Linked DNA regions of Tamandua tetradactyla. The protein of the gene in region 4 interacts with the protein of the main gene of each other region in a pairwise test. Links are inferred from orthologs where the notes say so. Each region holds a gene or a part of one and is shown on either strand. Other genes may lie near its edges.

Region 1 (7,687 bases), on a different chromosome or scaffold from region 4:
GGAACAGCTAGAAGGGAAAACCTAAAATTGTGGAACTGTAACCCATACCAAACTCTGAAATCTGTTCTATAACTAATTGTTCCAGTATGCTTTGAAATTTATTGTTGTTTTGTATATATGCTATTTTTCACAATTAAAAAAAAAAAGATATATACACAAGACCACAGCAAGAAAAAAGGTTGCAAAGATATTCTATAGAGTATATATATTTGTAAAATGGGACAGATCAGTTTGTGTGGTCTGAGAGTGGGATAACTGGGGATTGTTTCAATTCAATACTTTTATTATGTTCAGGGGCTCTAGTCATGGGTTGTTGAGACTCTTCAAGGAGCACTAGGAATGGGCAGAATTGTCATGGCAGGTAAAGCCAGGGGTAGTGGACTGTGGGGTGAATGCAGGAGGGTTCAAGGGACTCCAGAGGCCTTGGGTCTGCTAAGTTGCATTACCTTGTAGGGCTCCAGGAAATGGCAAGTCCATATTAGGCTTTGTGAATGCTGTACACATGTGAAGATGTATCAGTTAGCTATTGGCTGCATAACAAAGTGTCCTAAAAATTAATGGCTTAAAAATTTTTGTTTAGATTACAGTTCTGTGGTTCAAGGATTTAGGTTAGTCTCAGCTGGGAAGGTCATTTGGGCTCTTTTACGCATTTGTGGTCACCTGATAGATTGGCTGAGTCTGGTACCCTTAGATAATGTAGGAGTTTTAAAACATAACTGAAAATACTTGACAATATTCCCATCAAGTTATGAGGTCTACTTCCCTCCCCTTGAATCTGGTCAGGGTTGGACAGCTTCAATCAATAGCATAGAGCAGAAGCAGTGTCATATGACTCCAAGGCTAGATCATAAAGGTCCATGCAGCTTCTAATTTATTTGATGAAAGACTTACTGCCAAAGTCTTGAGATGTTATATCAGAAGTCTGACTACCTGTGGCTGCCAGGGTGGAAATGTCATGTAAGGAGATCAAATGGAGGGTTCCCAAGAGAGATCCCCAGTGAGACCCGAGCCATTTAAGTCATCCCAGTTCAGCAACCAAACATATGAATGAAGCAGCTCCCAGATAACTCCCCCTAGCCCCAGACCCTTTAGGCATGTACGGCCATGCAACTCCTCCCAGCTGAGTTCTGGACCTCATGGAGCAGAGACAAGCATCCCTACTGTGCCCTGTCCAAATTCCTGATCCACAGAATTCATAAACATACTGAAGAGGGTTGCTACTTTAGGGAAGGTTTGCTACATAGCAATAGGAAACTTCAACAGATGACCTCATTCATGGTTGAAGGTTGTTTGGCTGGTGGTGGAGACCACAAAGGCGGCTGAGCCTTGTGCATCATCCAGGCTAGCTCGGGCTTGTTCACACGATGATGAGAGAAGCAAGAACAGAAGCTTCAAGGCTTCTTTGGCCCAATCTCAGAATGAGCACAGCATTTCTGATACGTTCTGTTGGTCAGAACAAGTCACAGGCCAGTCCAGATTCAAGCAGTGAGGGGAAACTACACCTCTCAATGTAAGACGCTACGAATTTTGTAGTCTTCTTGGTTACCTATGCGACAAAATTACGAGCTCTGAGTCCACATTGATCAGCATTCCTAACAAAAGAGTTTGAGCCCAAAGTTTGGTCCAGAAAAAAATGGTTTTGATTGTGGAAAAATGTGATCAGCTAGGCACTAACAGAAGAGTCTTTTAGATAAATTTAAATATGCAAAATTTGGCTTAGAAGAAATGACAGCCATATCAAAAAAAATCACTATGGTAGAATCTATAGTTGGCGAAAATTGAATAAAGCGATCTGATTAACGATGCAAATGTTCACTGTAAAAAATCACATGGGAAAGAAGTGTTCCTGATTTTAAAAAAAGTTCAAACAAAAATGAAATTTGAAACATTTGGAAATGGTTTAACTATAATGAATACAAAAATGATCCAGGAATACAACTATTTAAATGCAGTTTATGATTTAAAAGCCTTTTCCAACAGGAATTTATTGGACTTTTTCCACTTGTGCTCATAAAAATGGAATCAAAGTGTTCCCAGAATAAAATCATCCTTTGTGTCAAAATGGTAGTGTGAGAATGAGAGAGTCCTAACATCCAGTGCAACTCTTTGCATCTGATTTTATTCCCCAGATACCAGTGGCTGCTTATCTCCCTAGCAAGTCCTCTGAAACTGGTCCTGATTGCTTTCTAGCTGCACTCAAGACCCCGTCCAGCTGCACTCCAGAACCCATCCAGCTCTGAGCCTCCCCAGGCTTCTCTATCTCCCAGGTCCTGACTACTGTTGAAGGACCAGAAGCCTGGGGGTTTCGTTGCTGAAAAGCTGTGGCTCAGAGATTGTTCTCTTCTGTGATCACGTGCATAGTGGGGCAACCCCCTAGACTTTGGATCTTTGCGATGGCTCTTTAGTCCCCCAAGCTGAGGGACCTTGGGCAGCCAGACTCAGGAATCACCCCTTGTTTGGCCTCCACTGCACCCTGCCCTTCTCACTTAACACCCTGCATCCCATCACTAACTACATCCACAGAGTCCATGGTCCCTCCCAGGGCAGCTCAAGCTCTGTGAATCAGGGGACAAGGGCAGTCAATGAGCGTCACTTCAGTTTCACCCTCTGCAAAGTCAACGTCGCTTTGTGACTTTGTCAGGACTATAATATGCCTGGCACATAACATGGCTTTAAAGGGAGGGAGGTGAAGACGTGTTTCGGAAAAAAAAAAAGTGTGGTATGGGGAGGGGAAGGAATGCATTTTATTTATCTTTATCACCCAAGTTTTCAGAGTTTGGGGTTTTCTTAATCCAATGTTCTGGCATTTTAACAAATACGGTATAGAAAGGGAGAGGGAGGGAGAGAGGGGAAACATCGAGGCAGAGAGAATGTAGAGAGTGACACAGAATCAGGGAGTGGGTAGACAGGAGATAGGAAGTGTGTAGACAGGAGCAGAGTGGGTAGACAAGGACACGAGCGGTTGTAGATAATGGCAGATTGTCGACAGGGGCAGGTAGAGTGTAGATAACAGCAGTGTAGATAGGGAAAGAGATAGTGTCGACAAGAGCAGAGTAGACAGGCAGGGTGTAGAAAGGAGCAGAGTGTAGACGGGGCCAGAGAAAAGTGTAGACAGGGGTAGAGAGAGATAGACAAGGACAGGGAATTTGGGTGGATGTCAGGCATTGCACCTAGACCAAAACCTCTTACTATATTGATCTCAGACCTGACATGCTGGGTCCCAGACTTCCTTCCGTATCTGTCTTCCTATTTGCAGCCCGAACCTGATCACTGCTATGCTACCGTCTCCTGCCTGGCGGAGTCCTTCCCTGCCCCATCCCCTCCTGGGCCCGTCCCTGAATCTTGGGCCACGTCTCTGCAGAGTTTTGCCCACCGGCAGTAACTGTCTCCGTATGTTCTTCGCCAGCCTGAGGACCCCCGGCCTTCACTTCCGTGTTGAAAGCCTTGAGCCCACCATTCATTGATTTATTTCATTCATCAAACATTTATAAGCAGTTACCACGTGCCGGGCCCCTGCTAGGCAATGCTGGGGACCCCGGGAGATCTGACGTAAGCCCTGTACACCCACGTCCCCGAGGAGCTGCAGGTCTGGGGAAGGTGCGGGTGAGATGGCGGTGCAAACGGTGACAGTTCAGAGATCTCAGCGTTAACACAAAGCGTTGTGAGCCACAGAGAAGACACGTAACCCGGGCTAGACAAGGGCACAGGACGGGTCCCCGTTTTCAGGGTGACCCCCCACACACACCCCAACCACCCCGCCCCCGGCACAGTGCTGGACTCTGAAAGGATGCGGTCCCATCACCTCCCTTTCTGCCCTAGGTATTTCTCGGCAACGCCCCTTCTCGGACTCGGGCAGGTAGCCCCGCCCAGGCCTGACCACGCCCCATCAGTGGCCTAGGCCCCGCCCCTTCCTCAGCCCCTCCTCCATTCCATTCAAGCCCGGAGTCAAGCTCCTTGCTCAGGAGGCCAACTTCACAAGAACTTCACGATATCATTGGTCAGAGGGTGTCACTGCAACTCCCTCCTTCATAGTCATTGGCTCCTTAGGTGTCAATCTTTATCGCGCCCCAACAGTTGCCATGGCCGAGCAGATAATAATGGACATCTCAGGACGTCTCGTCATTGGCAGAAAGCATGGCTCTGGGTGGAGCTTAGTGCCAAACGCTTGGCTGTCTCTGGCTGGTGTTCCTCAGGCCCGCAGCCTTTCCGCAGCGACACACCTCTTTCCTTGCTATTGGTCCCATCGGGTGTTGATCAACAGGGTTCTCTTTCTGATAGGTGAATCAGCCTGTCGCTCACGGCTTCCCTAATTTCAATTCGCTTCTCTTCCAAGAGGCGGCAATCTTCTGACCTTAGCCAGTCCCGCCTCACGGAGTGGCCACCGATTGGCTAGGTACGCCGTCACTCCCGGACGGTGGGCGGAGCCTCACGCTCGGGGGTGGTGAATTGGCTGGCCGGGCCTCGGGGGCGGGGCAGCGGCTCCTGTCAGCGGGTGAAATGGCAGCGGCGGAGCCGGCTGCGGCCGCGGTCCCGGGGGGAGGCTGAGGGGGCCGGGCCGGGGCTGCGGGACGAGCGGTGCAGCAGGGGTCCGGCGGCGCGGCCCGGGACGACGAGGCTCGGCACGGCGATGGCGGCGCGCTCGGCGCAGGTAGTGTGGCGCGGGCCGGGCCTCCGGGCGCTGCGGCCCGCGGGGGTTGGGCCAGACCGCGACTCCGGGCCGCTCGGGAACCCGCGCGGGGAGCCCCGGGCATTCCCAGCCCCGGACCTGGACCACCGCCCACCCTCGCTCGCGTCCCTCGGGACACCTCACCACCACCAGGGGTCCTCTCCGCGTGAGGCCCCATCAGGCCCATGACCCCCGCCCACCCTTTCCACCTACCCTCAGGATCCCTCCTAGGACCCTTCGGAGACCCCGACCCCTACCCCGCAGACCCACCTCCTCCCACGAGGGACCCCCCCAGGCCCAGGACCCCTCCGGTCTGCGGGATTCTTGCCGCCTGACCCTCCCCTCGCTTTACCCTCCAGTCTCCTAGCCCAGACCTGCCCCCACCCCCGGGAAGGCCAGCCCCAGGGCCTGCCCCCTCCCCTCTGATCCCACGGGCCCCTCCCCTCTGACCCCAAAGGCCTCCTCCCATCAGGACGCCCGCCCACAGGTCTCCCTTCAGCCTGCTGGCCCAGCTTCCACCCCAGACACCCTGTGCCCAAGGGCGCCCCTCAGAATCATTCCTTGGGTCCTCCCAGGACACCCCTGGATCCTGGCCCGTCTTGATCCGGTCTTACTGAAAACCACCCCTCTCCTCATGCCCAGACATCGGGATACCCCCTCCCCACCCCCAGACGCACGTCTTTCTGCAAATCCCAGACACATACACAAGCACATCTGGGAGCCTCCAGTTCTCACCCATGAGCCCCAACAACTCGTGCTGGCAGTTATGCCGACCCCCCCCTCCCAACACATAGAAGCCAGGAGCTCCCAGGTCCCCAACGCACACAGATAAATTTGGGACCTCTGACACACACCCCACCTATCTCCCCTATACACAGACACCCACACCCAGGACTTCTCAGCACTCCCACAAACCAACTTGGACCCCACCTGCCCAGGCCCTTTAGGAGCCAACAGGTCCCACCTTAGGCAGCCAGCCTGTCCAGCCACACCAATCTCCCTGAGCCGGGCCCCACATTGGGGCCCCTGAGGGTGGCAGGGACCCAACAGCTCTTAGCGCCCCTGTGGGCTCCTGCCCCAGGCTTCTTTATCCTTTAAAGTCTGACTGCTTTGCCCTTCTTCAAAGGGAAGGACACTCACTCCCTCTCCTACATCAAAGTGTCCTGAAAGGCACTACTGCCTGCCCCCTAATTTATGCCACCCACTGTTGGGGGGAGGGACAAGCAGGGAGGGGCTCAGGCTGCCCATGCCCCCGTCCTAAAGTCTGACCAGACTGGTAGGACCAGCATCCTGACCCCATTGCACCTGCTGGCCTCAGATGCAGCCAGCACCACCATCCAGGCTGCTCAAGGGACTAGCTCCTCATGGCCCAGTGGGTTTTTTTCATCCACTATGGACATGCTTTGCCAAAATGAAATGGCTTCCTGCTATCCTGGCCTTTGGGACCCTGTGGAGCTGGGTTTGGGCCTGCCCGGAGCAGGCATCTCTTTGTTAAGGAATATTTTCAGAAGGGGAAAAAAAAATGTGCCGAAGAGGCTCAGGAGGCACATGAGTGAGCAGACTGTTTCATTTTACTCTCAGCCAGGCTGCGATGGAGATAGAGGACCCGTCTCCATGTGTCTTTCCGGGTTGTGCTGATGTTCCCGCCCAGCCTGCCGATTCCCCGTGGGCTCCTGTGGTTGACTGGGGGTGGTTTGGAAGGAATCGCAGGTGGCTTGGCCCCGGGTCAGGGATGGTGGTGAGACAGAGAGGAGAGACTGCAGAATGGGTGAGATGGTGTGGCTGGAACTGCAGGGATGAGAAGCCCCCAGGTCCCACCATGTGGAATCAGCTCAGTCCGGCCCCTGCATGGCCTGACACCCATGTGTCTGAGGTCCTTCTAGTGATATGGTCACACCTGCAAAGCCCCAAAAAGTCATCACAAGCCTGGGCTTCGTAGTAAATATTCAGCAATGGAGTCTGAGTGGCCCTGGGTCAAAGCTCATCTTGGCTCAGTACCTCAACTTCCCCATCTGGCAAATGGGGAGATAGATCTGTAGCATAGTACTTTGTACCGCAGGGGCCCCTGGGAGGGCTGAATGCTGTCTAGGCACTGTGTGGGAGGGGACAGTGGGATCTGGGAGGACAGTCCCCTGTCAGTGGGAGCAGAAATACTGGCTACCCTGGCCCCCTGGTTGTAATTGGATGATACCTCACTGGTCAGTGGCCCTTTTTCCCTGGCTGAGCTGCATTACAGGAAGCTGGCTGGAATTGGGATTGGTAGGAGGAGGATAAGAGATGGCTTTTTGTGGGATTTGTGGCCACGCAGGGACCTCCAGGGGAGTGAGGGGCACAGGGGTGTGGCACTGCTTGCAGGTGGTGCTGACGCCCCCACACCTCTGATGCTGGGTAGGGAGAGGTGTGTTCTTTGCCTCATCCGAAGGAGTGGATGAAAAGACTCCTGAAGGTCACATGGTACAGAAAAGATAAATGCCACAGCCTCCCCAGGTAGGACTTTGTGTGGACAAAGCAAAGTAGGAAGGTTCCGCAAGATAGAGCTATGAACTTTTTGGGGAAACCAAAGAAGGCTCTCTGAGAGGACTTATGAATGATAACACGGTTTTACCCTCAACTAGGGCTACAGGTCCGTGTGTTTGAGTGTGTGCTTTAGTAGGCGCATGGGGGATAGGGAAGCAAGTGTGCTTTATTTTCCTCACGCAGAATATTCATGCTGATTGTCCCCAAAGGATGCCCACCATGGACCAGGAATTGAGTCATGTGCTGGTGTACAAGGGATATAAAATGTGGTCCCCACCCTGCCTCTAAAGACTCTCTCAATACTATGAAGCAGGAGTTGAAACCATAGCCTCGTTGATCGGACCCATACCACGTGCTCAATGCTGTGCCATTTTTGTATTATCTCATTTAGTCTTCAGAACAACCCAGAGGCTTGTTACAGCACAGGCCTTTACTTTCACATCCTGCTGTCTGCTATGCTGGAAGCATCAGATGGAATTATGGACAGTATCCTGCAGGCGCACA
Region 2 (8,043 bases), on a different chromosome or scaffold from region 4:
TCAGGCAAGGATACAGAGACCTCACTCACCTCTTCATCTCTAAATATCTATTCTCTTTCCCCCCAAATTAGCAATGCATGTATGCCACTCTCAGAATGTAAACCTGATGCATGCACCTAGCTCTGCAGTCCTTCCTTACTAAACTTCCAGTAAGATGACTGCATCACTTCCTTCAAGGACAGTAAGATGACTGCATCACTTCCTTCAAGGAAATTACAGTCAAAAGAATGTCTCTTCCCTAAATAAGCCTACAGCACACCAAGGAGACACACTGAAATCTGATGTCACTAGTGAAGTCAGTCATTTAAAATACTGAGACAGGGGAAGACAAAATTTTCTGATCGTCCCACTAGTTCACCAGCCATTGTTCCCCCACTGGTCTTTATGGACTGTCTCAGCTCAACTCTCGTCCTTATTAACTTACTCAAGGATTGCTTCCGTATCCACCCTACCACAGGAAAGACCATCTGTTCAGATGCACTTTTCCCACTGTTTTAAAGGCCGTTTTTTGGGTCCCTTCAGCCAACAATGAGCTTTCTGAAGACAGACCCAGAACTCTGCCTTCCCAGTGCCTAGTCCAGCAGCTGCCATGTAGCAGGCACATAATGTATACTTTATGTTATGGTAGTTCATTCACTCATTCACTCCCATGTGAACATTATCAGAAGAATACGCTATCCTAATATAGGCGGGAGGTGATATTTTCTTTTGTTCTCTCTGGATTTTGTCTAGAAGGGGCAGGGCTATGGCTTCCTTTAGGAGAAAAACTGAAGGTTACAACTCTAATAAAGCAGCACCTAGTGAGGTGGAATAAGCAAATCAGATGATTTAAGAATTTCCAAAAGCGGTACTAACTGAAAACAAATGAATGATTAGTCCTATTCACAAACCACTTTAGGGTATATGCTTTGTACAACATGAATACGAAACGAAGCATTCAACAGTTTGTAAACTAGATGGCGTATTCAGGTTAAAGCAATGGTCGTCCAACTGGGCTCCTTGGGGTGCCACCTAAGGGACAGCCAAGTTGGCAAAGCTCAGGCTCAAACCTGAGCCTTTATTTTTCTTCAATATATTGGGCTACATGCGAGATTCCACTTAAATAAAGGGTTCGAGTATTGCTATGTTTTGAGGCAGTGTAGGAGGTTAATAAATGTTGATTGAATGAGGCCTGAAAAGGCCCATCTTAGAAAATCTTTACAAACACAAAAATAAAGAGGTCCCATTGAGTAGTTTGGTCTAAAGCCTACCCCCCGTACTGCGCCCACCCAGCCCAGCCCAGTTCTCACCTTCTATGCACTTAGGCTCACTGTCCAGGGTGCGCGTCTTACAGCGCAGTCCTTCCCCAGTGCCATCGATCCAGATATACATGGCTTGGACCTTCTCGCCCTGAGGCAGCCCCAGGTAGAACTGCTTGATGCCTTTGTTCAAGTGGGAACTTGCTGAGGTGGCCATGGTGGAAGGTGTTCTGGAGAGAAAAAGAAGAACATCTGGAAACCAATCTTTGGACTCCAAACTGAACCCCCTGCAGGGATGGCTCAAGAGGGAAATTTAAATCCAAGGCAGATGCTCCCTTTGAGAAGAGTGGGGTGGGGGCAGCCCCTTCCACTGGAAATCCTACACCCAAAGGTGTATTTATTCACTCTGGTTTCAAGAGGATCAACGTTTTTATATTAGTCAAAAATCTCCTGATAGTATTAGGCTGTAAAAATCCGATCAACTTTGCAAGAGAAAAGCCCTTGGCAATAAGCCTTGAGGCCTCTCAGCATCCTTGGGGCTTGAGAGATTAAGCTCTACTCCCCTCAGCACAGGTAGGGGAATTGTTTTAAAACATTTTATGCTAAGATACTACAGAAGTTCTACTCGAGAAAATTTAGAAAACAGATACAATCAACACAAATAATATCTAGCCACAGAAAAGCTTGGCTGCTATCATGTCCAGTGAGTGTTCCTTCACCTAAGTTGCAGTTTTTATAACAACCCCTTTTTGGCGATTCCCCATCCCCCTCAACAACATGCATTTAGATTTGAGGGTTAAACAAGGGCCTTCACTAGAAAGATTTAAAAGGCTGGAGGCTTCTTAAAAGCAAGACTGCAGTTACCAATATCACCAAGATAGAAGAGCTGATCCAAGGCATATTCTAAGGGGAACACTGCCATAATTTCCACTGGTCTAATGCAAAGTCTAACTTAATTCAGAAAGTGAGAATCACAATATTCTCAGATTTCACTGGCCAACTTTAAATAATAAGGGAATTCTCGCTTCTTAAACCAACATGATCTGGGATTTGGAAAGGTCTGATGCATGCTAAAAACTGCAAGCCGCCACCACCAGACCTCGGAAAGAAGAGAACCCAAAGCCACAGAACCGGCCTGGATGGTTAGAGGAAATGTTCTCCACACTCCACCCCACCCCTGCTCCAAACCCCAGGGTGGCTGCAAAGGAACACATTGTTCTCCTCCAATGACTTGAGCAACTTTCTAAAGTACAGTGGCAAAGTTTCTGCGGGCAACCATCCATGTTTGCCCAGCTGAAAACATAACTGCTTCTCCTTCCAACAGCCTCACCCTTCCCTGTGCGTTAGAGGAGAACCTCCTCCGGCAAGTCTTATAGGAGGAAAACCAATACTTCTGCCTATTGCAGGAGATTTGGTAGGTCAAATGCCACCCTCCACGCCCCCAACCAACCCCCCCCCCCCCCCGCCCCCGAAAGACCAGAATCTCTGATCCCTTCAGCTCCAACTACAAGTGAGAACTCAGTCTTTTAGCTTTCCTCCTAACTTGATACACCTCCAACATCAAGCCATGCTTCTCTCCAGTCCGGGTGAAGTGTCTTGTTCTCTCTCCCATGAGCCGGGTAGGTTGCCAGCAGCCTGCTGTACAATAGCAACTGGTGCTGCCGCAGAGCTTAAATTTTAAATCTTTGAGCTCTTTCTGCAGCTGCCACCAGCTGGGGAGTCCTCCTCCCTGCCCCTCACTCACCCCGGCCATAGGAGGTTAACCATATCGATGGGGTGGCCCTCGTTATGAGTCCTCTTTTTTGACTTGGGTTCACGCCTCTCTTCGTTCTCGGACTCTCGCTGGTCCAAGCACCGGAGCTTTCTGGGCGTTGGGGACGGGGATGGACAGGGGGATGGGGTTGGACACGGGGAAGGGGACGGGGCAGGGCACGGAGAATGCTCTGACCGGGTGGTGCTGGGATACGCGGGCTGGTGGGTCAGGGTCTTAATCTTGACTCGCGATTTCTCTCCCGGGTTCACCGAATAGGCGACGAAACCGAAGCAGTTGCTGGGGGACCCCGAGGACCGCGATTCTGTGTCTTCCGCATCATACTTCTTCTCGGCTTTGCGGCTGGGGGGGCGTCCCCGCTTCCCGCCCCCGGCGAAGCTGGAATCCACTTTGAGTGCAGTCCTTTCCCCCCGAAGTGTTCCAAACGTCGGGCCCCCGCCCCTCCGGCCCCGGTCCTGGTCTCAGGGACTCACCGAGGGGGCCATTCCCCTCCGGGGGCAGAGGCTGGGGACGGAGGGGAGGGGGTGCGGGGCACGTCGGCGGGAGGGGCGGCGTGCGGCTGCCACCTCCGCGGGGACTCGCCTCTAGCCGCGGCCCCGGGCTCCTCATTGTTCGGTCACAAGTGGAAGGTCCAGAACTCCCCCCGGGACTCGGTGGTAGGAGCCGGTCGCGCAAACACTACACTCCTGGTTAAACGAGCTTCGTCGCTCGGGCGTCAAAAAGATAATACCACGAGGACCCCACCCCCCCAACAGCTGCCACCGCCGAGAAGAGAGGGTGGACCCCGCGCCTGCCCAGCGCCCCCGCGTGCGTTCCTGCAGCGGGAACACGGCGGCTCCACCGACAGCCCAAACCCCACCACCGCGCCCAGGGCCGGCGGCTCAACGGTCCCGCCCGCTGAAAGGTCTCCTGGGCGTCCCTCTGGGCCGCGAGCAGCGGAAGGAAGATCAGAACAACCTCCTCCCCTTCTCAAAACACCTCGAGAAAGGCGCGCCCCCAAAACGCCAACCCAGACCCTCCGGGAATCGCCGACGGCGGAGCCACGCGGGAGGCCCGGGCGTCTTTGACCTCCTGAGCCCAGGAGGTCACAGCGCACAAGTGAGGACAGGAGGTGAGAAGGAGCCAAACCCGCACGAAGGGCCCCTAGTGCCACCGAGGGGCAGGCGGCGGGGCCCGCGCGCGTCCCTTCTGTGCTGTCCGGGAACCTTACCTGTGCAGCAGGCAGGGCAGAGGGAGGGAAGGCCGCGAGAGCGAAGTGAGAGGAGGCCGGGTGTGCAGGTCACACGCTGAACCCTTCTCTCATTCTCGGCTCTTCCGGGTCCCCTCGGGCCCGGCACCCTTTATCTGCGGCCGGGAGCCGCCCCCGGCGCCCTGATTGGCTTCGAGCGGCCGGGAGCGCGGACAGATCAGCTGATGTGCGCCCGAGCCCGGTGGCCATTGGGCGACGAGGCGTGCAGGCGCCGCGGGGGTGGGGGGAGCGAGCCCGGGAAAGAAAGAAAGAGAAAGGGGCGTGGGGGAGGGGGCGGAGGGAAGGAAAAGAAGGGCTGGCTGCTGGCGTGCAGAGGGCGCGAGTTCCTGCCGAGAAAGGACCCCGCCTGTAGTCGGCTCGAGCAAAACAACCGCGGCATGACCCGGGGCGGCCCTTGCAGCCCCCTCCCCCCGAGGCAGAAGGTTCCCAGAAAACCGCCAGCCCCTGCTGCCTTCCGATTGCATTGCAAGGAGAGTCCTCCTTTACGATGTCATACCGCGGGCCCCAGAGTTGCGGTTGGAAATTCTGAGCCACTGAACAATAATTTTGGCCTTTATTGTTAGAGAGCCTTCCCGCCCCTACTTCGGGGCGCGCTCGCGTTACGCTAGAGAGGGAGCGCGGGGTGCGGGTGCCGGGAAGCCCTGGGCTTTCCTGGGCGACGGCGGGTGCAGCAGGGGCCTGGAAGAGGGCAGCAAAGAGAGGGGGCTCCTGAAGGTGAGCCGGGGTTCATAACCCTAGGACAGCCCCCCTCCCCGGTTGTCTCAGGAAATTTTGGAAAGAGAACACAATTGTTACTGCACAGTTTTAATCATCGTTCCATGGAGTGGATTTTGGCGGGCGGTGGAAACAAAGTCAGGAGACCTGTCTGATACCGTCTTTGTCAGGCAAGTCACCCAGCCACTCTGGGCCCAAGTTTGCTTATCTGCAAAATAAAACTGTTCAGAGGATGACCTTTTAGAACCACCCACCAGATTTGAAATTCTATGTGCAAGCTGATCCCAAGTGCACTGAGAGGAAACGGAGATCTTCCAATTACCCCTTCGAAGCTCAGAGTTTGTAAAAAAAAAAAAAAAAATAGCATTCTAGCATTCCTTAAACAATTTTTCTTTTCTTTTGCCTTTCAGGTGACTTATTGTTCCTTCTTTTTAATCCGTAAATTGGAATACGTACCCCCTCTCTCCTCAGCCTCTCTGTGATGGTTGAGAGAATGTATGTGTAAACTCAATGGTGAAAATGCTTGCCAAAGATGCACGATCATGGCAAACTACAAAAAATAATATTTTATGTTTGCATTCTACCAGTTACTATTACTCAGTTAATCTATTTTTATTGCCCCCAATTCACCTGGAGGTGTGAATTTATTGCTTTTCCAGAAGTGCTAACATTTGAGACAGATTTTTCTCAGGCTTTGAGTCTTGGTCTTTGAGACCGAGAATTTATGCTTTCAGTGGTTTTGGGACACGAAAGGAAGAAGTTTGTTCTTCTGGTTGTTTTTTGTACCACAAACATGGAAAAGAAACGTTGCTGGTGACCATAAACATAACCTGGGTTCTTTGGTCAACATCCCTTTCCTTTAAGAGTGCATCTGAGTACTGTAGTGCTTTTAAATGACAAATGTAGCATTCACGTCCAGCGGGGGCGTTTGGTGTGTTTCAGACTGGTGACATCCTGGATTGGGTATAGAACCTTACAAATGTAAGGGATTCCATGTTAAATTTCAGTATTGCACATTGTAGCATTATAGTGCCATTGTTAAAGACAGGGTTTAGGGTCAGACAAACGTAGGTTCAAATCAGGGCTTTATCTCTTTAACAGCTTTGTATCAGCCGAGTTACTTAACCTCCTTAAATCTCAGTTACCTTGCCTATAAAATAGAATAACAAAAATTTAATAGGGATAGTGTGAGGATTAATTGTGATAACAGATGCAAAAGTGTTTAGGATAGTACTTGGAAAACAGTAAATGTTTAGTCCACCCTAGTTACAGCAGTGACAGGCCCGGGATGATCTGATGAGACTGGATTATTTCTTTGCCTGTAGCGACCATTCAATTGATACCCAACCAAAACAACTTTCTGACTCAGTGTAATGCTTTACCTGGGAACAGAGTAAGCTGTCTTAATTCCATTTCTTTCTGTAAAGCCTTGAATTTAAATGGCCGGGGGTGGGGGTGGGGATGGGTGTGGAGTAAGAAGAGGTGATGTTCTTATTTTAAAAGATGTTAATTTCCAAATGCCAAAACTACCAGAGATATAAACCAGTGCTTTCTACTGCATCCATCACCACAGCCCCTCCCTCCATTAGGAGATGGCAGTGATAGAAAATGGACTACTAGAAGCAAATACAGCTTCTGGTTTATTTTGCTGGGCAAGTGCCTGCTTCCCTTGTTAGGTGTCATAACCTCCTTGAGCAGTTTATTCATCTTCATATCCCTTGCCGGTATCCAAAGTGAGTGTTCAATAAATGATGTTTGTTGACCTCACACAATGACAGCGGCACCATCAAGAGAACATGTGCTTTGAGCTGCTTTTCCTGGAATGGAAGTGGATTTGCTTTGATCCATTCATGTGACCAGGGGCATGCTTTGTGAGGCTTAGGAACATAATATGTGGCCACTCACTCTTTCAGGAGTGAACAAGAGGCCTTGTCCTCCTTGGTCAACCCCACACTTACTTAAACCAGCCGAACTAGGGCCCAGAGGAGTCCCAGAGAAGCTGAAGCGTAGACGAGAGAAGAAAAAGCAGAAGAAAGTCCTTTAACTAATTGCCCCCAGAAACCCAGACTGTACATTCAGAGAAGTTGCAAGTGGAGCAGGCTGTTTCATTTGGTTTGATTTCGCTGTGTCTGCTGCCCTTTGTTCCCAGTCTCCTTGTTCCCTAAATTGCTACCACCCCCATTTCTCGCTGCCCCCATAAACAGCGCATCAGCATGCTTGCACCCTTAAACTTTTCTCTCTTGGTACACAGCATGAAAGCTGACAAGGGGTTCTATTGCCTGGGCTCAGAAGTCATGGCTCTCTCTCAGAGTAGCTTTGGTCCAGGGGTGGGTGGAGTGGGAGAGCAGCAGTGAGAGTAGACTTTGTTCCGAATCTGTAGAAATGACTAGGGATTAAAATGATTTCTTGGTGTTCCTCTGCTGCCTGAAATAAAGGCCTTTTTTTGGAAGGGCATTGCCTGTGATTTCTCCTCTCAATCTCTCTTATTCACAGGACCTATTCTCACTGTACAGGTCTGAAGCCCTGGGGCTAGTGATCTGAAGGCACCTTCCCAAGGCCTTGCTCTCATTTCTTCATTAGAGACAAGATTTGGGATGAAACTCAAATAGTTTATAGCGGGTCTCCCTGTATTTGAACGATTACAACACCTGTCTAGTGAGACTGTACAGGAGGGCTAAAGAGACAATGGCTGAGACTCAGGGTTGAGGAACTCTGTGGAGACCCAACCCAGAATTGTGAACTTTTCTGTTTTGCTTTTTAGTAATCCCATCACCAGTTCTTTCTCAAAGGAAGAGTCACAGCATAATCTTTAGGCAAAGTAAAACAAAAATAAAACAAAAGATGGGAAAAGAAAAAAAAAAGCAAAACAAATATATCTAGAAGTTGATGTCATTATTCCTAAACCATATTTTGGGGAGAAGCTGCAGGTGGCCTAAGCTTCCAGATTTCACTACCGTGAACATAAGACAAAAAAAGACCAGGTATAAGCAATTGAGGTTATACCTCAATTCAATATCCAACACTGGGCACAGAGGAATTTCTCTGTATATCCTGTCTTGATTGTTTGATGC
Region 3 (7,100 bases), on a different chromosome or scaffold from region 4:
GTGTTTCCATTACAATGACTGCTGTGTGTGTGTGTGTGTGTGTGTGTATGTGTGTGTGTGGTCCTGGCGTGTTTCCATTACAATGACTGCTGTGTGTGTGTGTGCGTGTGTGGCTTGTCTGTGGGCCTGAGTGTGTGGTCAGGGACTGGAGGGCCTGAGGACATAGGCACCTGTTTTTAGGGCTGCAACTCTGCGTGGGTGATGTGTGTTGGCGCAGGGAGCCCGCTGGCGCTGCCCTGTGGGGGTGGGGAGGCGAGGGAGGGAGTGGGACCAGTGCCCCCCTGCGGCCTGCGACCCTCTGCCACAAGGATGCTGCCACCTGCACGCCCACCTCCCCAGGCCCAGCCACACCCCGGGCAGCGGTCACTTCATGTTTATTGGGTCACAGGATGGCACAGGGCTTCTTCTCCTTAAAGGGGTTGGTGGCAGCCGGGATGCCCACGAGGAAGGGGTCGCTCTTGGCCTGCTCCGTGCAGAACTGCAGCAGGTCGGCGGCCGCCTTGGACACCTGGGGTCGCCCCCCCACATCCCGTCAGCCCCGCCCCGGTGCTCAGCTGAGCCCTGCACCCCCGGGGCGCCCCAAGCCACCCCGCTGGGCCAGGCCCTCACCTTCACGCGCTCCAGGCCCACCTCCATGCGTAGCTGCTCCACGGCCCGGCGGGCCTGCCCGATGTCACTGCCAAGGGCCACCTTGCTGGACATCTGGGGAAAGGCGAGCTGGGGGTGGGCGGGGGCCTGGCCCCAGAGCCCCAGACCCTGTACTGCCCTCAGGCCCCTGGGGACTGCAGGGGAGCGGCTCCCTGACCTCCCCCCAAGGCCACTGTACCTCTGCTGAGGACTCAGCCGATCCTGGCCGCCCCATCCACCGCCAGCTGGGTTCTGGCTGCCTCTCACCCCCACCTGGCCTCCCCTCTCCCAGCCCCTCCTCGTCACCCCCCGCCAAGGCTTTGAAGCCAGGAGGCTCCCTCACCATGCAGTGAAATGTCACCAGCCTCAGCTGCTGCTTGGGCCAAGGGGGTCCCTGCCCCAGGAGGCCCCTGCGGTGGCCCTGGTGTCACGTGTCATCTAGATCCCTGGGGGATGGGAGCCCTGCAGGCTGAATGGCTTGGCAGGCGGAATGCAGGGGTGGGGTGGGTTGGCCACTCCATGGTCTGCTTGACCCCTTGCTATCCTTTCCCCAACACGTCTCCTTGGCCAGGCTCTGCCATCCCCTGTGTGCGGGATTGCAGCAGGGCAGCCCTGCCTTTCCTTTCTGTCTACACCCACCGCCTGGGTACAAATGACTCCATACACCCAGAGAGCGGACTTCCTCAGTCCCTTTCCCAGCCGTTCCCTGAATTACAGACCTGAGGTCCCACCTCCTTCCTTGGTACATCCTTTAATTCAATCAAAGCTAGACTCTGTTATCTGTCTGCCCAAATCTTATGTCCCCCCTCCCCTGAGTTGAAGTGCAGTACCCTCCACTCGACTGCTCAGGGCCAAATCTCCAAATCCTTTTCTGCCCTTCCTTCCTGTTATCCCCACACCAAATCCTTTCTCAAGTGCCATCAGGGGAGCCTTCAAGTTGGATTCTGCATTGGTCACTTCCGCCCACCCTGTGGTCGCGTCCCCCTTCGCTTGCCTGGCCCCGGGCAGCTGACTCAGCCCTGCCGGCCCTCTCCAGGTCACACCTCGGCTCTCCTCAAGGCAGCCAGTGGGAATCTCTTAAAAAATACATCACAGGCTCTCGATCTTGCTGAGACTCTCCCAACGTTTTGCTGCCCCTTAGAATGAGATTCACCAGTGCACGCGGGGTCCTGTCTAGGCTGGACTCTCCTGCTGTCTCTGAATTCATTTTCGCACCACCCTCTCTGTCTCTCATTCTTCACTTACCAGCCTGATGCCCTTGATTTCATTCATTCATTCATTCGGCACACTTGCTGAGGTCCTTGTATTTTCCAAATACTGCTCAAAAAGCAGGAGGTGAAATGGTGAAATGAGACAAAATCCTGTCCTCACTGAACTGCTATTCTAGTAGGGGAGGGACAGACAACCAGTGAATAAAATACACGTTATAATGCAGACATTTTTGTATAAAAGCAAGGGGAGGGCAAAGGGGAGTGGCCAAAGCAGGCCAAGAAGGTGATAAATGAGCTGAGACCCAAAGGAGCTGCAGGTCAGGAGAGAGGCTGGAGGGTTCCAGGGGCACATGGAGGCTGATGTAGCTGCAGAGAAATGAGCAAGCAGAAGCTAACGGGTGTTGGGGCAGGTCAGCGGTGCCCCTAGAGGCCAGGGAGAAGTGGCTGGATTTTATCCCAAGGGGAAGTCACCCTTAGAGAGTTTTAATGAGGAATGCTGCATGTGATTTATGTTTAAAGAAGGGCTCTCCGGCTGCTGTTGGGAGACAGATTGGAGGGGAGGGAGCCCAGTGTGGAAGCCACGGGAATGAAGAAAAGTGCGTGTACCTGGGACCTATTTGATAGGTAGAACTTAGTGGGTGTGCTGATAGAAGGGTGTGGGGTCTGAGAAAATGGAAGACCTCAGGTTCAACTCCATAGTTTCTGGCCAAGTGGAGAAGTGGAGGTTGAGGACATTGGTTGAGATGCAGAAGATTGTGGGAGGATCAGATTTAGGTGAAGAGGGGAAGGATGTATTGAATTTGAGACCCAAGTAGGGTGTTAAGAAGGATGTTCTGTCTGTCCTATAAAGTGGGCTCATTGCCAGCCTCAGGGCCTTTGCACTGCTGGGGGTGGGGGTGAATGCCCTCCCCTGATTTCTTCACATAGCGGTGGGTCTTTCTTGGCCTTCTGGTTTTGGCTCAAAACCTCCCAACTACCTGTCCATCCAACTGAAGTCGCCAATCACCCCAATTACTCTCCTACGTCACCCTGTTTAAGTCCTGAATAGCATTTACACTGTTAATTTTCAGACTGTGGGCTCCTCGGGGGCAGAGGTCAGTCTTGTTCACTGCTAAACCCACAGCACCTAGCACAGAGCCCAAGGCGTAGTATGCCTCCACATATCTTAAGCCAGCAATAAAGGGGTGGCCTGCGCACAATTAGAGAGATGCTGTTCTAGTTTGCTAGCTGCAGGAATGCAATATACCAGAAGCAGAATGGCTTTTAAAAAGGGGAGTTTAATGAGTTGCTAATCTACAGTTCTAAGGCCAAGACAATGTCCCAATTACAACAAGTCCATAGAGATGTCCAATCAAAGGCATCCAGGGAAAGATACCTTGGTTCAAGAAGACCGATGAAGTTGAAGGTTTCTTTCTCATCTGCAAAGGCACATGGTGAACACGGTCAGGGTTCCTCTCTCATGTGGAAGGGCACATGGCGAACATGGAGTCATCTGCTAGCTTTCTCTTCTGGCTTCCGGTTTCATGAAGCTCCCCGGGAGGCGTTTCCCTTCTCCATCTCCAAAGGTCGCTGGCTGGTGGACTCTCTGCTTCGTAGTGTTGCTCTCTCTGAATCTCTCATTCTCCAAAATATTTCCTCTCTTATATGACTCCAATAAACCAATCAAGATTCAGCTTAACAACCACTCCTGACTAAATCCCATCATCCAGGGAAATGATCTGATTACAGTTTCAAACATACAGTATTGAACAGAGATTATTCTACCTTTACGAAATGATATTTTGATTAAAACATGGCTTTTCTTAGGGGGCATACTTCCTTTCACACCGGCACAGATGCGCATAGAGGGATGCAGGAGCCACAGACCCGCCTTCAGGAGTCTTACAGTCTCCCTGGGGCGGGGGTGAGGGGAAGAGAGGGGGAAGAGCTGTCAGAAGAGATCTTTGGGCCAGTCTGGAAAGTCAGGAAAGGCTTTCCAGAGGTGACAGCTGCAGCTGCCGGTGGAAAGGGTTGTGCAGCACGTGGTGGCATGAGCAGAGATCAGTGCCATGTGACTAGAGAGGATGAGAGGCAGGAAACTGTATCTGACTCTGCCTGGGGACCCAAATCCTGCCCAAGGGCCACGCCTAAGAAGTGGTACTCTCCCCAAGACAGAATTGGATGGCGGAAGCATTGCACAACGCGCTGGTTTCCAGCAGGCAGCAGTAAAGGTAGGACTCTAATCATATGAAGCTGAGAACGTGCAAACCAGGGAATAGACTCCTCGCTTCCGTACAGCCGCGCAAACATGGCCACTCCCTGGGCGCCACAGAGAATCATGTGACTGAGCTACTTCCGGTCCGTCTCCCCGAGGTCTTCCCGAGCCCCATTTCCTGCGCTCCGGCAATAGAAGCAAGCGGTTGTGGGACCCGGCACGTTAAACGCCGCCGGAGGCCCGCCGGGGGGCGGCCGTGACCTGGGAGCGCCGCCGCATAGTATGGAGGGCCCCCTGGAAGGAGGGGCGCCCGCGGCGGCGCTGGCCGCCGTGCTGAAGCACAGCACGGCGCTGCCGCCCGAGAGCGCCCAGGTCCGGGGCTACGACTTCAACCGCGGCGTGGACTACCGCGCGTTGCTGGAGGCCTTCGGCACCACCGGCTTCCAGGCCACCAACTTCGGACGCGCGGTGGAGCAAGTCAACGCCATGGTGAGGCCTGAGGCGGGACTTCCGGGCCCGGGGAGGAGCGTGGTCTGCCGGGGGACCCGTGCTGTACCTGGGTTAGGGGGCGGGACTTCCTGCGGGCTGGGTGGGGCGTGCCATCCGATGGGGCGGTCCAATCGCCGGAGAGAGGCGGGGCCTGTCCTGGGCGAGCGTTTCTATGAGGGCTAGACTTGCAAAGGAGATGCTGACTCCAGAAAGGCGGCTACTCCTGAGCCCTCCCCTGAGGTCTGGGCGGGGAAGGAGGCGGGGCCTGGCACCAGGTACAAGTGGTACCCGATTCCTGAGTGGGCAGGGCCTTGGGGGCGGGGTCTGCCTCTGGGACCTACCCGGGGCCTTTGGGTTGAGCTCAAGCCCATCGGGCCCCTCTACCCAGATCGAAAAGAAGCTGGAGCCGCTGTCGCAGGACGAGGACCATCATGCGGACCTGACCCGGAGCCGCCGCCCGCTCACCGGCTGCACCATTTTCCTGGGCTACACGTCCAACCTCATTAGCTCGGGCGTCCGCGAGTCCATCCGCTACCTCGTGCAGCATAACATGGTGGGAACCTGGCAGGGTTGGGGCCTAGACGCCCTCTGAGTCTCAGCGGTCAAAAGGATCATCGAACGTTTTAGTGAGATGATGGAGAGATGGGTCGGTCCTAAGCAGAGGGACAGGATGCAGTTGATTTTGCAGCAGCGCTGCCCCTAAGGGTCTTGGGGTGAAGGTGGGGGTTTGGAGACCTGCAGGCTGAGGGCAGGGATCCCCTTCCCTGGCCAACGTTGCCACCTTCTGGCCACAGGTGGACGTCCTGGTGACCACAGCTGGGGGTGTGGAGGAGGATCTCATCAAGTGCCTGGCACCCACGTACCTGGGGGAGTTCAGTCTCAGGGGGAAGGAGCTCCGGGAGAATGGGATCAACAGGTGTGGGGGAGGGGTGCTGGGTGGCCTGGGTGGTGCTGGGCAAGGGGGCTGGCCCCAGGGCCCTGAGGCCTGATGTCCACCTCCTCCTGCCTCCAGGATTGGGAACCTGCTGGTGCCTAATGACAATTATTGCAAATTTGAGGACTGGCTGATGCCCATCCTGGACCAGATGGTGCTGGAGCAGAACACAGAGGTGGGGCCAGGGCCCACCCCCTGGGGGGAGGGTGGCTCAGTGGGAGCCACAGGAAGTGCGGGCTCATCCTTGTCTCCTCCTAGGGTGTGAAGTGGACTCCTTCCAAGATGATTGCCCGGCTTGGCAAGGAGATCAACAACTCAGAGTCGGTGTATTACTGGGCCCAGAAGGTGAGGGGCTGATTCGGGGCACGTGTTAGCTTCCTTCCTCTCCACAGGGGGATGGTGTCCTCATTCTCATTGCCCCCATTTCAAGGTGAGGAGCCTTAGGCACAGAGCAGTTAAGTAATTCTGTTAGACATCACCCAGCTGTTGAGCGGATCTGTTCTCCTGGGCTGCCTGGGAGCAGTTGGGAGCTTAAGTCCGGACAGTGCTTAGCAAGGCCCCTATGGGTGCCTGAGGGTCCACACCCCACAGAGGCCAGGAGGTCTAGGCATCTGTCAGTTAACACAAGCTACTGCCTTTTAGTTGCTAGGCGCTGTCCTAAGTGTTTTGGGTGGTTTGTTAAATGGGCATCATCTTTGGGGGTAGGAGGGGAGGTACTATTATCCCTTGTAGTGCTCTTGAGGAACCTGAGGCCCAGAGAAGTTAAGCCCTCTGCCCCCAGTCAGGCAGGGAGGAAGTGATGCAACAGGGAGAGGCACCAGGCTGCCCGCACCAGGCTCCGGGCCCCAAGCCCTGTCCTGCCCTCCCTCCCCCAGAACCACATCCCTGTGTTGAGCCCGGCGCTCACGGATGGCTCGCTGGGCGACATGATCTTCTTCCATTCTTACAAGAACCCGGGCCTGGTCCTGGACATCGTGGAGGGTGTGTGCTGGGGCTACAGGTAGGGGTCAGGGGGAGGCGGGCCGGCTGGGCCCCAAGCCTGAACACAGCCCCTCACACCCCCAGACCTGAGGCTCATCAACACCCAGGCCATCTTCGCCAAGCACTCGGGGATGATCATCCTGGGCGGGGGCCTGGTCAAGCACCACATTGCCAATGCCAACCTCATGGTGAGAGCCAGTGTGGGAGCTGTGCCCATGAAGTGGGCCTTCTCCCACATGAGGGGAGACAGGTGTGGACTGGATGGGAAGGCCTCCTGGCCTCTGGAGACTAGTGGGGGAGGGAGGCGACACGTGAAGCACATGGGTGCTGTGACAGGGTGGCAAGAAAAAGGGGTGCATGAGGGGGGCTCTTTTAGGAAGTGTGACCTGTGAGTGCCCGAGTGGGTGGGAGGAGGGCTGTTCCTGGTATAGGAAACGGCCAGAGCGTGGGGGGGTGATGGGGCAGGTGGAGTGGAGCCTTGGGACCGTGCATAGGATTTTGGCTTTTACTCTGAGGAAGGTGGGAGCCATGGAGGGCTCTAAGCACAACAGGGATGTAACCTGATGCAGGTGTTCACAGGTGCCCTCTGGCTGCTCTGTGCTTGTGGGGGGAGGAGGCATCTGCCTTTGTCCCAGACCAGGCGGGTATCAGGAAGCAGGGAGAA
Region 4 (7,834 bases):
GCTCATGCTCCCCCCTCCCTCCTCATTCTTTCCATTAAAGTCTGTTGTTCTGTGAATGTTGCCAGTGCACGCTGCTTATGCAGGCCACATGGTTTGGGAGGGAGGGGAGCTACGGAGATCTGCTCTGGAGCAAGAACAAGTAGAATGGGGCCGGTGGGCAACCACAGGGGTTAACAGGGACCTCAAAACCTTCTGCTCTTCTTCCCGGGGCCTGGGCCCGTGGCACCCACTGAGGACAAGATGAAGCCTTCTGACCAAAGATGGCTTTTGATAGCAACAGCAGGCAAAGCCGAGCCCTGGAGTTCAGCAGCGAGGTGGCCTTCACGTGCAGCATCGACCTGCAGAGATCCTGGAGCCACAATGCTCCTGCCAAGACCAGGTCTATGTCTGGTCTGACTTGGAGATTGTGGCCTGGGAGAGCCCTTGCCCAGCCCTTCTGCCCTTGGTGCCATGGCCCCAGGCCCAGCCACCCCGGGACTGAGCCTCACAGCTCAGACAGCTGACTGCCTGGCCCCCTCTGCCCACGCCCTGTGACCCCTCTGGTGTTACTCTTCCCCTCACCCCTTCCCTTGAGATCGCAAAATGCTCCAACTGTTGTTATACCTAATTGTTTCTGTGGTGGTTCAGGGAATTTTTTTTATTATTAAATAAAATTTTTTTATTACAAGTGTAATATACTTTCAGAAGATTTAGAAAATAAGAAAAAGTCACCTGGAAGCCTATCTCCAGCATGCTCAGCCTGATCACTATCAGCATTTTGGTATAGTTCCTTCTGGTATTTTCCCCAAGGGTCTATTTCACATGTGGTTGAATTGGTGTTTTGTAGTTGATTTACTTATCTTAATATAATTATTTTTTATGTTGTTACCTAAGCGTCATGTTAAGTGGCTGCTTACAGTCGATTGAGGCTTTGCCACGATTTATCAAGCCCTCTTTCTTCCTGAAATTTAGGTTTCTTCATTGTTTGGTAAATTAGGTTAATTCCATTTTTTCGTGGGATTAAAAAGAAAGAAAGAAAAATAGAGGACTCCTACACTTATAGTAGGCACCACACCAGTATTTTGACATAAATATGATCTCATTTAATCCTTCATCAATATTTTAAGGTAGACATTATTTATTTCTGTTTTAAAGAAGAAACAGGCAGGCTGGGGTTAAGTAAACTACCCCAGGACATTCAGCAATTTTAGTGGCAGAACTGGGATTTGGACCAAATCTTCTGACTCATGCCACCTCGTTTACATGATCGTCTCAGCTCTTAATGCAGTTTAAAGATGAGCTTGCCCTCTTCTCTGTCCTTCCAACATTACGTACTTTCTATCTGATCATCTTCCAAGTAGCACTGAATGACCCATTCCTACTTAGATTTCACCTTATTTGGCTGTGTCCTGATGTTACCCCAGAACCCAAGACACGAGGTCCTTCCTATGGGAGGATGGTCTCTTAATTTTTCCCATTTGGGATGGGGACCACCGAGTCCCTGGGCCTCTCTCTTCACATGGAGCACCCCATCCCCCCCCCAATCCTTCATGGGGGGGGTCACAGCACCATTAAAGGCATAATTGGTCTGACGTGTTGGAATCAGCAGATGGATCAATGTTCATTTATTCCAGAGATGGACCTGGGAATGAAGCCAGCCCAGGTGGGGAGTGACCCAGTGCCTCAGGTTGTGGGCAGGGGGTGGCACTGACCCCCATGGAGGCCTGGCCGGCTCAATCCCAGCCCAGACTGCCCTTTGAGCCTCTTGCTTCTCACAGGCCTCTCCTCACTGTCCACCGTCTGCTTCCAGGCCTCCTCATTGACCCAAATATTTAAGAAGCAGAACCCTCAGGGCTGGCGGGGAGCTCATAGGATGTACCTCCGATGCCTTCTTTTCCTTTTTCTTATAAAGTAAGGTTTTGGAGACTTATTTTGAAATAATTTTAGATTTACAGAAGGATTGCAAAGATGGCATAAAGTTCCCATTTACCCTTCACCCAGTTTCCTCTAAGTTAACACCTTACCTAGCCACGAGACACCGATAGATTGATTATTAAGGAAGCAAAAGACTTTCTTGGGATTTCACCAGTTTTCCCACTTACGTCCTTTCTTTATGACAGGATCCAATAGTACCTTGTTTTTACAGTTGGCCTAAGGGGAAGATCTGACCCTACCCCTGAGGGGCCAACCTAGCGGCAGGGCCCATCTGGAAGCCCGACGCCCTCCACAGAAGGGCCTGGAGCTTGCACCGTTGTCCTCCTCAGCCTTCACGTGGGCTTTCAGGGCAAAAAGCCTTACTCTTGGGTAGGCGGCTCTGACCTTGCCCCGCCCCTTCCGGTCCCTGAGGGTGCCAGTCACGGGCCTTTGCGCATGCGTGCTCCTACGCACGTGCCTGTGCGCATGCCTCGAAACGTCTAGCTCGGGCTGGGAATCTTGGGCGCTGGGAACCCTGCACCGTCCCTGCGGCCACCCACCCCAGCCAGTTTTCATCCCTCATGGGCAAAGAGGACACAGAGAAAACGTTGATGAAAGCCTTTTTCTTTTGTGGGGTTTTGTAGTTTTGTGGGGCCATCTTTACCAGTTGGGTCTCTTCACGAATCGAGCTGCATCCCTCGGCCTCCGGGTTTTTCTATCCCAGCCCCCCTCCCTCAGCATTTCTCTTTCTCTGCTCAGTGTCTCCCATGTTACCCAGTCTGACTGTGTTCTCTCGTCCTCCCAATGCCTTGAGAAAAGTCCATTTCATTGTTGTTTCCCTCTGAGGGCTGGGTACCGACTACCCCCAAACCCCACCCATCCCATGCAGCCCTTCACGGCTCACGAGGGGCTTCGCATTCCTTTGCCTCACGTGAGGCCCTCTGGAGAGAAGCGGAATGCTTTTCCTCTTCGGCATTGATGCGGGGAGTGGAGCCGCCTTGGCACTTCCAGGCGGTTAGGCCGTCTGTTGTTTATCTCAGGCTGCTTGTCAGGCTTCAGATCCTTGCCCAGACGTGACCTCACTCTCACTCAAATCATCCCTGGGAGGCAGGAAGGAGTCTGGGAACAACGCTGTCCCTACTTCACAGATGGGAAAACTGAGGGTCACACACGGGCAGCAGATTTGTTGACAGGTCACTCTGTAGTCTTGGGGTCCCGACTCCACCCTGTACAGTCAGGTGTCTGGGAGGTGAGGTGGTGTTGGGTATGGCTGGGGCGGCAGCATTCACCAGCTGGCCTGGGGCAACACAGCACCCGGTCTCCTGGGAACCCGCAGTCAGTGCAGGATGTGAGAAGGGCCTGTGGAGACTGAGAAGCTGGGGTTGCAGTTTCTGAGAGTCAAGTCTAGTCCTATAGTGGCCCTGTCGGCACATTCATGAGGGTAGGTCCTACTTTGGCCGCAGGAGGGCCCTGCCTGGAGGCTTCGTGGGCAGTCTGGTGATGGTGCATTGCTCTGCCTGAATGGACGGTCCACAAAGCTCCTCTCCACATCTCACCGTACCCTCCCCACAACCCTGTGAAGGAAAGGGTGCTCTACAGATGAGGAAAAGGAGACCTATAACCTGCCTGAGGACGCAGAGCAAGCCAGCAAGCAGTGGCCGGGCCTTATGGCTTCAAGGCCAGTACTTGGTCCTCTCCATCACAGCCAATCTCACCAAAAAACAAGAGGTGCACAAAGCCAGCACGAGGGGAAAGAGAAAAGGGGGGCCCCTACTCGGGGCGAGGCACATAGAGTTTGCTTGCTTCCCAGTTTCATTCCAGCTGGCCCTGACTTCCTGTCCTGAGAGGAGGTTAAAGGAAGTTCTGCAGAGGAGAGGTCAGGCTGGGAGAGAAGCAGGAACTCGCCCAAAACAGCCCACACCCTGCTCTCACTGTGCCAGCCTGTGCGTGCTCCATGGGAGGGCAGCAAAAACAGAGCAAGACACCCCTTTGCCCTGGCAGGGCCCACAGTCTACAGGGGAGAGGGGCCTGGAACCACCTGGAAATACACGGTGGGCAGAGGGCGGGGTAACATAACGGCTCGGCTGGCAGATTGAAGATCTTCTCTGAGTCTGTCCCTGAAATCCCCTCCTTCCCTCCTCAGCCCTGCCCCACCTTGTCCGTCCCAGTGGTGCCCCCTCCCTCCTCCGAGCTCCTGTCACACCTCATACCCACATCACTCACTTAGCCCTTGGCGTACACCCCTGGGGTGACTTTTCCTACGTATATGTCCATCTTGCCAACTAAGTGGGAATCTCCTCTACAGCGGGGGCTTACGGTTCCCCCTGCTATGTTAAATCCCATACAGTTTAGTGAAGAAAGAAGAAAGAAATCTAAGAAGTGATCTTCTGGGGCAAAGCCATCGCATGTTTAAGGCGATCTGGACAGTCCAAACCGCGGGCCTCCGTGACGTCATCGGGCTTGTGACGCCACCGTCGCCGGCCGCGGTGGCGTCTCGCTGCCCCGCAGGCAGGATGACGACGCCGTCAGAACCCCGCAGACCAGCGCGCGCTAGCCGAACCAGCGAGGTCGGGGGCGGGAGACGTCCGAAAAGACAGAGCAGGGCGGGTGGGACAGCAGCGGCGGCGGGGCAGGGGTCTGCCCGGGTCCCCGCAGGGGTGCCGCGTCCCCTTCCAGGCTGGCCCCGCCCCCGTGCCCGCCGCGGGCCAACCTATGTAGGCGGGCCGTGGTGACGCGCAGCCTCTCCGCCGCGAGCGCTCGCCCGGCTCTTCCGCGTCCGCGAGCGCGCGCGGACTGAATCGTCAGGGGAAGACGGAGACGGACCCCCGCCCACCTTCCCCTCGCTCGCCCCCTCGTCCCCCCCCCCCCCCCCCGACCTCTCCGCCCCGACTCAGCCCGCTCTGCAGACTGCGGGCCCGCCGCCCGCAGGGGCCTCGATGGCCTCGGAAGGCCTGGCGGGGGCGCTGGCGGCGGTGCTGGGGGGCCGGGGGCTGCGCGTGCAGGGCTGGGACTCGGTGCCCGCCGAGGAGCCGCCGGCGCCGGTGCGGCTGCGGAAGAACGTCTGCTACGTGGTACTGGCGGTGTTCCTCAACGAGCAGGTGAGCGTCCCAGCGGGGCCCGGGGCCGCCAGCCCGCCGCCCCGGCCTCGGAAACGCCAGTGGCCTCACCCACCGCTTGCTTGTGCGGGGCGCTTTCCAGTAATTTAGCAAAGCACTTTCACTCACACTTGCCCCTGAGCCTGGTGGCGGTCCAGCCCTGCAATTATCCCTATATGCAGAGAAGGAAACTGAGGCCCAGGAGCTTCGTAGAACTTGCTCCTGGCGTGTCAAGCCCTTGAGCAGAGGGCTGTCTTATTCCTTCTTTGCCAGGAGGTTGGCACAGTGTCCGGTGGATTCTCGGCCCTCTTAAAGGTCTGTGGAGTGCTTGAGAGAGCTCCCCTGCATCCTCCGGATGGGAATGGCGGAGCCCACGCTCGCACTCAGACGTCTGACCTCCTTGTCCAGTGCTCTTTTGGGTGCTGATGCCTGTACACGTTCCTCTAATAACAGCTAGTAAGGGACAGGGCCATGGTTGGGCTGGGTTGCGGCTGGACACGAGCATTTGGTAAACCATCTGGGGAGGCGACAGATTCACAGTGACACGTCCACAGACATGGTAACCTCACCCTGGGGTCTAATCCCCGGCCCCTGGAAGCAGCCCCCAGGAATCTCAGCCCCTTCCTGAAATGGAAGTCTCTGAATCCAAAGAGGGCCCAACTGCAGACAAGAAACAGCCTCACACACAGCCCTGTCCCCTGGAGAGCTCAGCAACTTGAGGGTATCCCTCAGGGCTGACTGTTGCTGTCATATGGAGAGGAAGGGCCTCTGCTTGTGCTGTGCTCTATGGTGGGAGGTGAGGATCCTCTGTGTCCCCTCAGGATGAGGTGCTCCTGATCCAGGAGGCCAAGAGAGAATGCCGCGGGTCGTGGTACCTACCCGCGGGGAGAATGGAGCCAGGGGAGACCATCGTGGAGGCGCTCCAACGGGAGGTGAAGGAGGAGGCCGGGCTGCAGTGTGAGCCTCTGACCCTGTTGGCTGTGGAGGAACGGGGCCTCTCCTGGATCCGCTTTGCATTCCTGGCTCAGGCCACAGGTATGTCCCACCCAATGGCAGTGGGAGCAGGAAACGATTGACACCCCTACTCCCACCCCATCTCATGCCTGCTTGTCCTTTGGTGAGATGAGCCTCTCCACAGCCTGGCATGGCCCAGATTCCACCCTGAGAATTTCGGTCTCCTCCCTGGGTATCCATTTTATTCTGCCAGATCTGGCACTTCTTTCAGCACAGACCCTTTCCTCCCCTCTGCCCTCCAAATCTCCCCTTAGGTGGAATTCTTAAGACTTCAAAGGAGGCAGACGCGGAGTCCCTGCAGGCTGGCTGGTATCCACGGACCTCCCTGCCCACTCCACTGCGAGCCCATGACATTTTGCACCTGGTAGAGCTAGCTGCCCAGTATGGCCAGCGAGCCAGTCACCCTCTTATTCTGCCTCAAGAGCTTCCCTGCAGTCTGGTTTGCCAGCGGCTCGTGGCCACCTTTACCAGTGTCCAAGCTGTGTGGGTGCTGGTGGGTACAGTGGGGATGCCTCACTTGCCCATCACTGCCTGTGGCTTCACCCCAGTGGAGCAGAGGGGTGGCATCAAGATGGCCATCCTGCGGCTGCTACAGGAATGTCTGACTCTGCACCACTTAGCAGTGGAGACCAAGGGGTTGCTAGGACTGCAGCATCTAGGCAAAGACCATACAGATGGCATTTGCCTAAATGTGCTGGTGACAGTGGCTTTTCGGAACCCAGGTATCCAAAATGAGCCCCCAAAGGTTCGGGGTGAGAAATTCTTTTGGTGGAAGGTGATGGAGGAAGACCTACAAAGTCAGCTCTTACAGAGGCTTCAGGAATCATCTGTTGTCCCAGTCAACAGATAGGAAGGTGCCAGAAGCGGGCAAGAAGCTGGACATCTGTGTTTCCACGATGGTTTCGCCATTCCTCTGCCAAGAGGCAAGAAGTTGGAAATCTGTGATCCTCTTGCACTGGGGTTCTCCTGGTTCTCAGAGGGATTCCCATCTCTCTTGACAGAAAGGACAGTGCCTTCAACCAACCAAGGAGTCAAAGGCCCAACTGCCCTGAAGCTCCTTGTCAGGGAGGTGGGGACTTTCTGACCCTGCCCTGGCACACAGTCTTCATTTTCTGTGCCCACCTAGAAAAGGCCTGCATCTGAATCCTTTCAGGCACTTAGAGCATGGAAGGGAAACTGGGGGAGGTCCTCCGAGTGAGGGTCCCTTGCTGAGTAAACGGGTGTCGCTTACCTCCCCTTTGCTGCCTAAATGTCTCCGTGGGAAGGAAATGAGCAGGAAGGTGGGATGGTTGTCAGAAGAGAAGCTGCTTCCCTTGTTCCACTGACAGCCACCAGGCCTTTCCCTGACAGCATGCCGAGGCTCCAAGGTCAGGTGGGTGGGTGGCTGGACAGACCGGCTCACGAGGAGGCCTGAGGTCTGAGTGTGGGGGGTGCCCTTCTGTCACCTGGTAGGAAGGGATGTGACTGGGGTGGTGAGAGGGAACAACATCCCTTATTAACCAACTCTAACCCTCTCACTGCTTGAACCCTGAGAACTTCCTGGAGAAATTTCAGATGGGAGACAAGCTATAAAGTCTGCCCCTGCTTCTTTACTTGTGCATTTTTCTCCTTGAACTTCTTGGGCTCAGATTCCTTCCCTGTCATTTGCCAGCCCCCAGGCTTGTGCCTCTGCCTTTTTACAACTTCAGCCCAAGCCAGACCAAAACCCTTTCTTCATCTTCCACCGGCCCTACTGAATCATAGTTGGATTTCTTTTTTTCTTTTAAAAGAACTTGACTAAAATTTAAGGGAGAACCAATGGAAAGTAACAAAGAAAATACACTGTGTGCTAT

Evidence for each region.
Region 1: the proteins of NUDT18 (region 4) and EVI5L interact in binary tests that used the Homo sapiens proteins (3 or more experiments, as listed by UniProt). The two-hybrid records come from large-scale screens. The link is inferred for Tamandua tetradactyla from reciprocal best matches to the Homo sapiens genes NUDT18 and EVI5L.
Region 2: the proteins of NUDT18 (region 4) and GLUL interact in a two-hybrid assay, tested with the Homo sapiens proteins (2 studies listed by BioGRID and IntAct). The two-hybrid records come from large-scale screens. The link is inferred for Tamandua tetradactyla from reciprocal best matches to the Homo sapiens genes NUDT18 and GLUL.
Region 3: the proteins of NUDT18 (region 4) and DHPS interact in binary tests that used the Homo sapiens proteins (3 or more experiments, as listed by UniProt). The two-hybrid records come from large-scale screens. The link is inferred for Tamandua tetradactyla from reciprocal best matches to the Homo sapiens genes NUDT18 and DHPS.

Annotation. Positions count from the first base shown.
Region 1 is NC_135337.1:84,256,139-84,263,825, forward strand, and holds the start of EVI5L (EVI5-like protein), read left to right. Parts: upstream 1-4,480; 5' UTR 4,481-4,648; intron 4,649-7,687. UniProt on the Homo sapiens protein: Functions as a GTPase-activating protein (GAP) with a broad specificity.
Region 2 is NC_135330.1:37,223,749-37,231,791, forward strand, and holds the start of GLUL (glutamine synthetase), read right to left. Parts: upstream 3,179-8,043; 5' UTR 3,006-3,178; coding exon 2,983-3,005; intron 1,469-2,982; coding exon 1,290-1,468; intron 1-1,289. UniProt on the Homo sapiens protein: Glutamine synthetase that catalyzes the ATP-dependent conversion of glutamate and ammonia to glutamine.
Region 3 is NC_135337.1:89,906,990-89,914,089, forward strand, and holds the start of DHPS (deoxyhypusine synthase), read left to right. Parts: upstream 1-3,940; 5' UTR 3,941-4,314; coding exon 4,315-4,521; intron 4,522-4,683; exon of another isoform or gene 4,684-4,796; intron 4,797-4,909; coding exon 4,910-5,074; intron 5,075-5,315; coding exon 5,316-5,437; intron 5,438-5,533; coding exon 5,534-5,630; intron 5,631-5,713; coding exon 5,714-5,800; intron 5,801-6,330; coding exon 6,331-6,436; coding exon of another isoform or gene 6,437-6,455; intron 6,456-6,520; coding exon 6,521-6,624; intron 6,625-7,100. Other genes in the region: GNG14 (guanine nucleotide-binding protein G(I)/G(S)/G(O) subunit gamma-14), read right to left, coding at 383-508, 610-702, 827-862. UniProt on the Homo sapiens protein: Catalyzes the NAD-dependent oxidative cleavage of spermidine and the subsequent transfer of the butylamine moiety of spermidine to the epsilon-amino group of a critical lysine residue of the eIF-5A precursor protein to form the intermediate deoxyhypusine residue.
Region 4 is NC_135329.1:22,739,748-22,747,581, reverse strand, and holds NUDT18 (8-oxo-dGDP phosphatase NUDT18), read left to right. Parts: upstream 1-4,794; 5' UTR 4,795-4,829; coding exon 4,830-4,991; intron 4,992-5,809; coding exon 5,810-6,023; intron 6,024-6,256; coding exon 6,257-6,852; 3' UTR 6,853-7,233; downstream 7,234-7,834. UniProt on the Homo sapiens protein: Mediates the hydrolysis of oxidized nucleoside diphosphate derivatives. Hydrolyzes 8-oxo-7,8-dihydroguanine (8-oxo-Gua)-containing deoxyribo- and ribonucleoside diphosphates to the monophosphates. Hydrolyzes 8-oxo-dGDP and 8-oxo-GDP with the same efficiencies.